2 linked regions of the Caenorhabditis elegans genome follow. The protein of the gene in region 1 purifies or fractionates together with the protein of each later gene. This does not show direct contact. Each region holds a gene or a part of one and is shown on either strand. Other genes may lie near its edges. The genes, in order: C25E10.8 and txdc-17.

What was found.
Region 2: the proteins of C25E10.8 (region 1) and txdc-17 fractionate together in Caenorhabditis elegans (co-fractionation; one large-scale study listed by BioGRID). This does not show direct contact.

What each region holds. Positions count from the first base shown.
Region 1 is NC_003283.11:9,052,518-9,055,897, forward strand, and holds C25E10.8 (TIL domain-containing protein), read right to left. Parts: upstream 1,553-3,380; 5' UTR 1,416-1,552; coding exon 1,413-1,415; intron 1,364-1,412; coding exon 1,312-1,363; intron 1,249-1,311; coding exon 1,178-1,248; intron 1,133-1,177; coding exon 845-1,132; 3' UTR 745-844; downstream 1-744. Other genes in the region: Serine protease inhibitor swm-1, read right to left, coding at 1,751-2,035, 2,086-2,156, 2,217-2,265, 2,313-2,315; C25E10.10 (TIL domain-containing protein), read right to left, coding at 2,959-3,074, 3,175-3,271, 3,317-3,380.
Region 2 is NC_003281.10:2,832,742-2,836,906, forward strand, and holds txdc-17 (Thioredoxin domain-containing protein 17), read left to right. Parts: upstream 1-1,921; coding exon 1,922-2,072; intron 2,073-2,300; coding exon 2,301-2,391; intron 2,392-3,220; coding exon 3,221-3,377; 3' UTR 3,378-3,520; downstream 3,521-4,165. Other genes in the region: Y71H2AM.1 (N(6)-L-threonylcarbamoyladenine synthase), read left to right, coding at 52-137; Y71H2AM.29 (G_PROTEIN_RECEP_F1_2 domain-containing protein), read left to right, coding at 408-428, 791-1,042; josd-1 (ubiquitinyl hydrolase 1), read left to right, coding at 3,898-4,055.

The sequences.
Region 1 (3,380 bases):
GAAAGTCAAAAGTTTCAAAAATATAAAGTAAAGGGAAAAATTAATTTCCTATAACTTTTGCCAAATTTTTTCTGGGACAAATGATATTGTGCAGAAATTGGCAGAACCTTTCTGACGCGTACCTATTGGTATTTATGAATGTGATTATTTTTATGTTTACGAGGTAGAAAACAATTGCAAATGCTCACGTAAAATAGCGTAGTCTTTCATTTTCCAGAATGTGCCTGGAAAAAACGCTGCTGTAAAAGAATCGTGATTTTTGAATTAAAAAGTTTTAAGCGTCTACGACATTTTCTAACCTAGACATTACAAAAGAATGATTGATCTTTTTTTGAATAATTTCCTTGCTTAAGTTTCTTATTTGTTTTTTGTGTGTATGTTCCTATATTAAGAAACCAAGTAGGGGATGAGCTCAGCTCTGCCACACGGTTAAATTTTTTAACGCATTTTTTAACGAATTTTTTTTCCAAAAAAATATATGATGCCAACATTTAAACTGTCTGTTTTTGTCGCTTTTGGAATGTTTATGAAACAACAATTGCCAATCCTAAAAAAAGTTTTGTGTGTAGCATCGAACCTATAAGACCAAATGAAATTCAATACTCTAGTGAGGTAATCTGTACCCAAAAACGAAAACTTTGTGTACTCCGATCGGACACAGTTTTCCATCGGAATGATATCACGATCACGGCATTGTTTGTGTTTTGTTCCAAAAAAGAAATATAAATTCGTTTCCATTTTTCCAGTTCATGGTAACCGAATGTTATTCTATTTGGCAATTTGTTGGTTTTTCTCAGAATATGAAATTCAACGATTTATTATCACAAATGTGAATACAAAATGTTCACTTTGGGCACTCCTTGAGTTCGGTGCATCTGTAACCGTTTCGGACAAAACCACTGGAACACTGGCAAACATTTACAATGCATTGTCTGGTACATGGTCTTGGTCCTGGTTTTTCACAAGTTGGCTCACAAGCGGTTCCGCATCGGAAGAATGTCTCATTTTCCGGACATTTGCTAGTTTCCTTGGTACAGGTGGAAATATCGACACATTTTCCAAGTGAATTACGCACAAATCCTTTCTTGCAGTCGCATGCGTTTTCAATACATTGAGCAGATAGACACACTTTCTGAAAATTAAATATTATAGGAGAACATGGAAAATTATAGATTACTGGAGTGTATCCGCATTGTGTCTCACAGTGATCATGGCATGCAACCATTTCCTCGTTGGCTCCACATGTCTCTGAAAAGTAAAATGTTTATTTTCCAGAAATATTTAACAATAATCATTTAAAAATAAACTTACTATTGGCAGCTGTCGCAGCAGCAATAAAACAGGCAATTATGACAAAAGTTCTCTAAAAACTCATTAGTTTTTGCATTGCTCTAATGAAAAAAAGAACGAACCATCACAGAAAGAAAAGTAATGCAGCAGTCTGATGTTTTCTTTTGAAATGACTCTATTTATTGTTCGAGAACACTAAATCACGCAGAGGACTCTAGTCTATCAAAACCGCCCTTTTGTTTGCCAGAGACATAGACATTGAAAAAAAACGATGACCAATAAATCCAAAAGATCAAACAGAGTTTTTTTTAGTTTTTCATGCCAGGAAAAATAATACTGATGTAACAATTGTGTTATCAATAATAGCACACAACTCCAGTTTCCTTCATCACACTTCTTTTTGAATTTTTTCCAATATTTGATGGTTTATTGAACTTGGAAATGTTTACTCAAAAACAAATTATTTTGGACAATCTTTCTTATCAATGCATCTGAGTCCATGACGAACGAAACCTTTGGAGCATTGGCAGACATTGACGATACATTGTTTAGTGCAAACTGTTGGATTTGGTTTCTCACAAGTTGCTTCACAAGCTGTTCCACAGCCAAAGAATGTCTCATTTTCTGGGCATTTTGTAGTTTCCTTGGTGCATTCAGATACTTCGACGCATTTTCCAAGAGAATTACGAACAAATCCGTCTTTACAGTCACATGTGTTCATGATACATTGCTCCGTGCAAGCTTTCTAAATTTTGAAACTTTCAGTAATGGGAGACACATTAAGTTAATTGTTACAGGGGTATATCCACATTGTGGTTCACATGTATTATGGCACGATACCAGCTCCTCATTGGCTTCACATGTTTCTAAAAAAATATTTATGATCTGGTAACCGTTCAAGTACCAAATCACATATATTTACTTACTTGTGGCGGTAGCAACAGCAACGATGCATGTGATTATGACAAGTATCCTCTGTAAGTGTATAATTTTTATATTAGAAAAAAAACTCAAAAACTCACCATTTTCACAATAACGAAGGGCAACCAACCGATGTTTTGCTTTTTAACGGCTCTATTTATTGTGCCGGAACACTAAAAAACGGCAGAACCGCCCTTTTTTTCGGAAGGGATGATACGAGAAACATGATAAGATCGAATGGGAGATATTATAGGTCTTCTCAATCTTTTGGAGAGAAATTTATCTTTCACCGGTCACGTATTTATTTTGTAAATTGGGCTCACAACAAAGGTTTAAAAATCTCGAAGAATTTGTATTCGAAAATTCAGAAAAAATCAGAAACACATTAAATCGAGAACCTTACGAAATTTCATTCCGACCAATGATTTTAATGAATCAATTCACTAGAAGATATCAATTTAAAACGTATCGCTTGGTGCAAATAGTTTTGGCTTGGCTCACTGGAGAGTATTTCGAATGTGTTTCATCCATAATTACCAACTTAACATTGTTTGGTTAACACTGACTTTTTGTATTCATTGTATTGCAACACGGAATAGTTCATAAGTTTTTTGGCTATTGAAAAGGAATACAAATATTATGTTAAAATTCGAATATTGTTATTTTTAAATTTTCTGAAAACATTAGCATGAAAACATCAATATTAAAATATGAGAAAAACAACTTTTTTTTTAATCATCGAAAATATTATTCAGTGGTATGTTGTGCAACACATACGTCCACAATTTGGCATGGTTTCTCCTCACAAGTCAGCTCCACAAGTTCACATTTTTCGTTCTCAGAGCATTCAAGAGTGCATTTGCCTGAATGAAAAATTTATGACTAGTATTATGTGCAGGTTTTCAGCGAATAATCACTGATGGTTAAATTGGTTAAAGTCTAGTAATAAATTTTGAAGCTTACTGCATTTATTTTTCTCCACACATTTTCCAGTTGCCGAGTCTCTGACGAGTCCTTTCTTACACTGGCAGACGTTTGTCATACACACCAAATCACATTCCTGAGAAACAATTTATGATCATACATAATCTCAACGTTGATTTACTGGATTCTCGTTATCACATGTCGGTTCACACGCTGAGCCACACGCCTTGAGCTCTTCATCGCCC
Region 2 (4,165 bases), on another chromosome or scaffold:
GATTTTTGACATAATTTTATCCCAAAAATTGTAATTTTAAGTCAATTTCAGCCTCCGGAATGCGTTTCGACCTTCGTAAAACCACAACCACCCAGCGATATAGAACGGATCAGGTTCACGTTGAATGGAGAGATTAATCGGTGCCTACCTACCTGCCTGCCTACAGGCGTAGGCAGGCATTTCTTCTGCTTCACGTTGTTTTTTTTTTCGTTAATTTTATTGATTTTTCTCCACTTTTCTTGTTGTTGTTGTTGTGCCGCGTGGCTGTTCTCATTTCTTTAAAATTTTACGTTTTTTTTTTCTCGAAATTTTGAAAATAGTTATCCCCCGTCCAATTTTCAATCATTTCTTTATTATTTTCTCCTGTTCTTCACACGTTTTTTGCACAAAAAGGAACGGGAAACAAAATGGTCGACGGATGTGCTGAGGTATGGCTTTTTTTTTACCGAAACCAACCTACCAGGCCCTAACTATCTGCCTGCAGGTACGCCGAACCAATAGGCGTTGGTCGCCTTGCAGGTGGGCAAATGTGATGTGATTGTTTTTTTTTAAATGTGATTTTATACCAACTTTCTAGTAGGCACGCTTGTAGGCGCCAGGTAGGCAACGATTTTTTCGTTTTTTTTTCCAAGTAAAAGTTAAGAAATACTAATTGATTTAATGGTAGGCACGCGAGTAGGCAGCCATTTTTCGCCAATTTTCCGTTTTTTTTTCGTATTTTCAAAAGCAAAAGGTTTAGGCATAAGGCAGGCGTAGGTAAAAACCCCCCGAAACCTCTTTTTTTTTGCAGAAATTCGAGCAAATGAGTTCATGGATTGTGCTGATTTCAATTGTTCCAATAACATTCAGCTTTATAACTGTCATTCTTTTGTGCTCATCTCTTCTAAAAGTGAAGAAAATGCGTGGAATTTGTGATGGAATCCATTCGAATGCTCATTGGTTGTCTAGAACTGCTGTTCGTGTTGGAATTGGAGCAACTGCCCGTGTTACAATCAATGAATATGCATCGACGAAGCCTGAGCTCAAGAGATTGCTTAAATAGATTACCTTGTTTTGAATGGAATAAATTATTGGGGATTTTTGAATTTTTTTATTAATTTTTTTTGTTGCTTTTTATCGGTTTTTGAAATTCCGAAGATTTTATTTACTTTATTATTTTTTTCTCTAAAATTTTCTAGAAAAAAAATTGAAATTTGATTTTTTAATTTTTTTTCGAAAATATGAATTTTGCCGCAAATTAATTCTAAATTTCGCAAAATTTTTCAGTGTTTCTAGAAATTTCTTATCGAAAAATTGAGAAAAAAAAACTATAAACTATTGAAAATATTTATTACGGGAACTCAAAATTTTGAGAATGCGTATTTCACAACATATTTGACGCGCAAAATATAACTATATCTCGTAGCGAAAACTACAGTAATCCTTTAAATGACTACTGTAGCTCGGTTGTGTCAATTTACGGGAACTCGATAAATAAATGATTCAACTCATTTAACAGAATCGAGATCCCGTAAATCGACACAACCGCGCGCTACAGTAGTCATTTAAAGGATTACTGTAGTTTTCGCTACGAGATATTTTGCGCGTCAAATATGTTGTGAAATACGCATTCTCAAAATTTTGAGTTCCCGTAATAAATATTTTCAATATTTTATAGTTTTTTTTTCTCAATTTTTCGATAAGAAATTCCTAAAAACACTGAAAATTTTGGGAAAATTAAAATTTTTCTTTCCAATTTTCAGAAAAAAATTTTAAAATTTGAATTTTGGAATATGGCTCAAAAATTTTGTGCAAAAGTGCAGAAAAAAAAATAAAATCCTATCATTTTTCGGGTTTTTTAAAGGATTTTCATGTCTCTTCCGAATATTTTTTTGTTGAAAATTTGTGGTAAATTTGAAAATTTCATGAATTTTTTCTCCAGATGACCGGACTGAAACACTACACTGCTCAGGGATACGAAGCATTTCAGGAGACACTGAAATCGATTGGAAAAGGAAAACGAGTCGTCGCTCTGTTCACTGGATCCAAAATTCTGACAACCGGAGAGTCTTGGTGCCCGGATTGTGTTGTTGGTACGAGATTTTGATGGCCTACCTACCTGCCTACCTACCCGCCTAGCTCATCCCCTGCGTACCTATCTGCTAACAGCCTCTGCCGCTTCTGTGCTTACCTACTCACCTATCTACAGTCTACATGCCTACCTACGGTGTGCCTGCCTTTGCCTACCGCATACCTATGCCTACCTACTGCTCACCTCACGCCTGCCTATAAATTAAAAAAATAATATATTTGAATTTCAGCTGAGCCAGTTGTCGAAGAAGTGATCAAGGACGCCGCCGTCGCCGGACTCGATGTCCATTTTGTCACTGTTTTCGTCGGAAATCGTGAAGTGTTCGTGGATTTTTGTAAAAAAAAATCGATAAAATTACGAAAAATCAATATTTTTTGGAAAAAATCAATAAAATTACGAAAAATCAATAAAATTATTAAAAAATCAAAAAATTATAAAAAATCAATAAAATTATAAAAATCAAATTTTTTTTGGAAAAAGTCGATAACATTACGAAAAATCAATTTTTTGAAAAAAAAAATCAATAAAAATATAAAAAATCAATAAAATTATAAAAAATCAATAAAATTATAAAAAATCAATGAAATTATAAAAAATCAATGAAATTATAAAAAATCAATTATTTTTAAATCAATAAAATTACGACAAATCATTTTTTTTTTTGGAAAAATTCATTTTTTTATAATTTTATTGATTTTTTCCAAAAAAAATCAATTTTTTTTAGAAAAAATCAATAAAATTATAAAAAATAAATTTTTTTAAAGAAAAAATCAATAAAATTATAAAAAATCAATTGTTTTTTAAAGAAACATCAATAAAATTATTTAAAAAAACCAATTTTTTAAAGAAAAAATCAATAAAATCATAAAAAAAATCAATTTTTTCTGGAAAAAATCAATAAAATTATAAAAAATCAATGAAATTATAAAAAATCAATTTTTTTTAAAAGAAAAAATCAATAAAATTATGAAAAATCTATAAAATTACGAAAAATCTATAAAATTATAAAAAATCAATTTTTTTGAAAAAAAAATCAATGAAATTACGAAATACTGTGTCAAAATTTTGAAAAATTCTCAAAGAAAAAATTTTCGGAAAAAATTATTTTGAAAAAAATTGCAAAAAATCTCTAAATTTCCAAATTTTCAGATGGCGTGACCCAGCTGTCGGATTCCGTACTGATCCAACACTCAAATTGACATGTATTCCGACACTTTTGGAAGTTGGAAACAAGGCAAAACGTCTTTTGGAGAGACAAATTGCCAATAAGCATCTCGTCAAGGACTTTTTCACTGAGGAAGACTAAATTATCGATTTTTTGGCTATTTATTGTGCTGAAAATTCCGCCATTTTGTTGTGATATTTAGACGATTTTTTGAATTGGGGTTATGGTTTTTGTTATTTAAAAAAAAAATTTTGTTCAGTTTATATAAAGGATTTGGTGATGGATTTTTTGATTTTTTGATTTTTTTTCAAAAAGAGGATGTGCCCTATTTTATGCTTAATTTTTTTTAATTGATTTTTGATTTTTTTTTGAATTAAAAAAAAGGAAAAATCGATATTTTGAATAAATTTTCTGAAAAATCAATACTAAATTCGAATTTCGATTTTCAAATAAAATTCGATTTTGTTTCGCACAAAAGTTAATAATTTAGTCATAGAAAATCGATAATTTTCATGAAATTTTTGAATAAAAATCAATATTTTATCGATTTTTTTCCAGAAGAAAATCGATAAACTGCAAAAAAAATATTTACGATTTCGACGACATTTTAAAAATAGAAAAAATTTCAGCATCCAATACCCCAATTAGATTTATATTCCAGATGACGTCATCACCAGAAATTTATCACGAAAAGCAACGTCTTCAATACTGCCTTATCCATACGGTTAACAATATTCTACAAAAATCCGAATTTGATCCGACAAAAATGGACGAAATTTGCTATGCGTTTAATGAGAGTAAATGGTTTAATCCACATAGGTACGCCGAAAAATTGATAATTTCCGGAAAAATCGATAATTTCCGGAAAAATCGATTATTTCTGGAAAAATCGATAATTTCCGGAAAAATCGATAATTTCCGGAAAAATC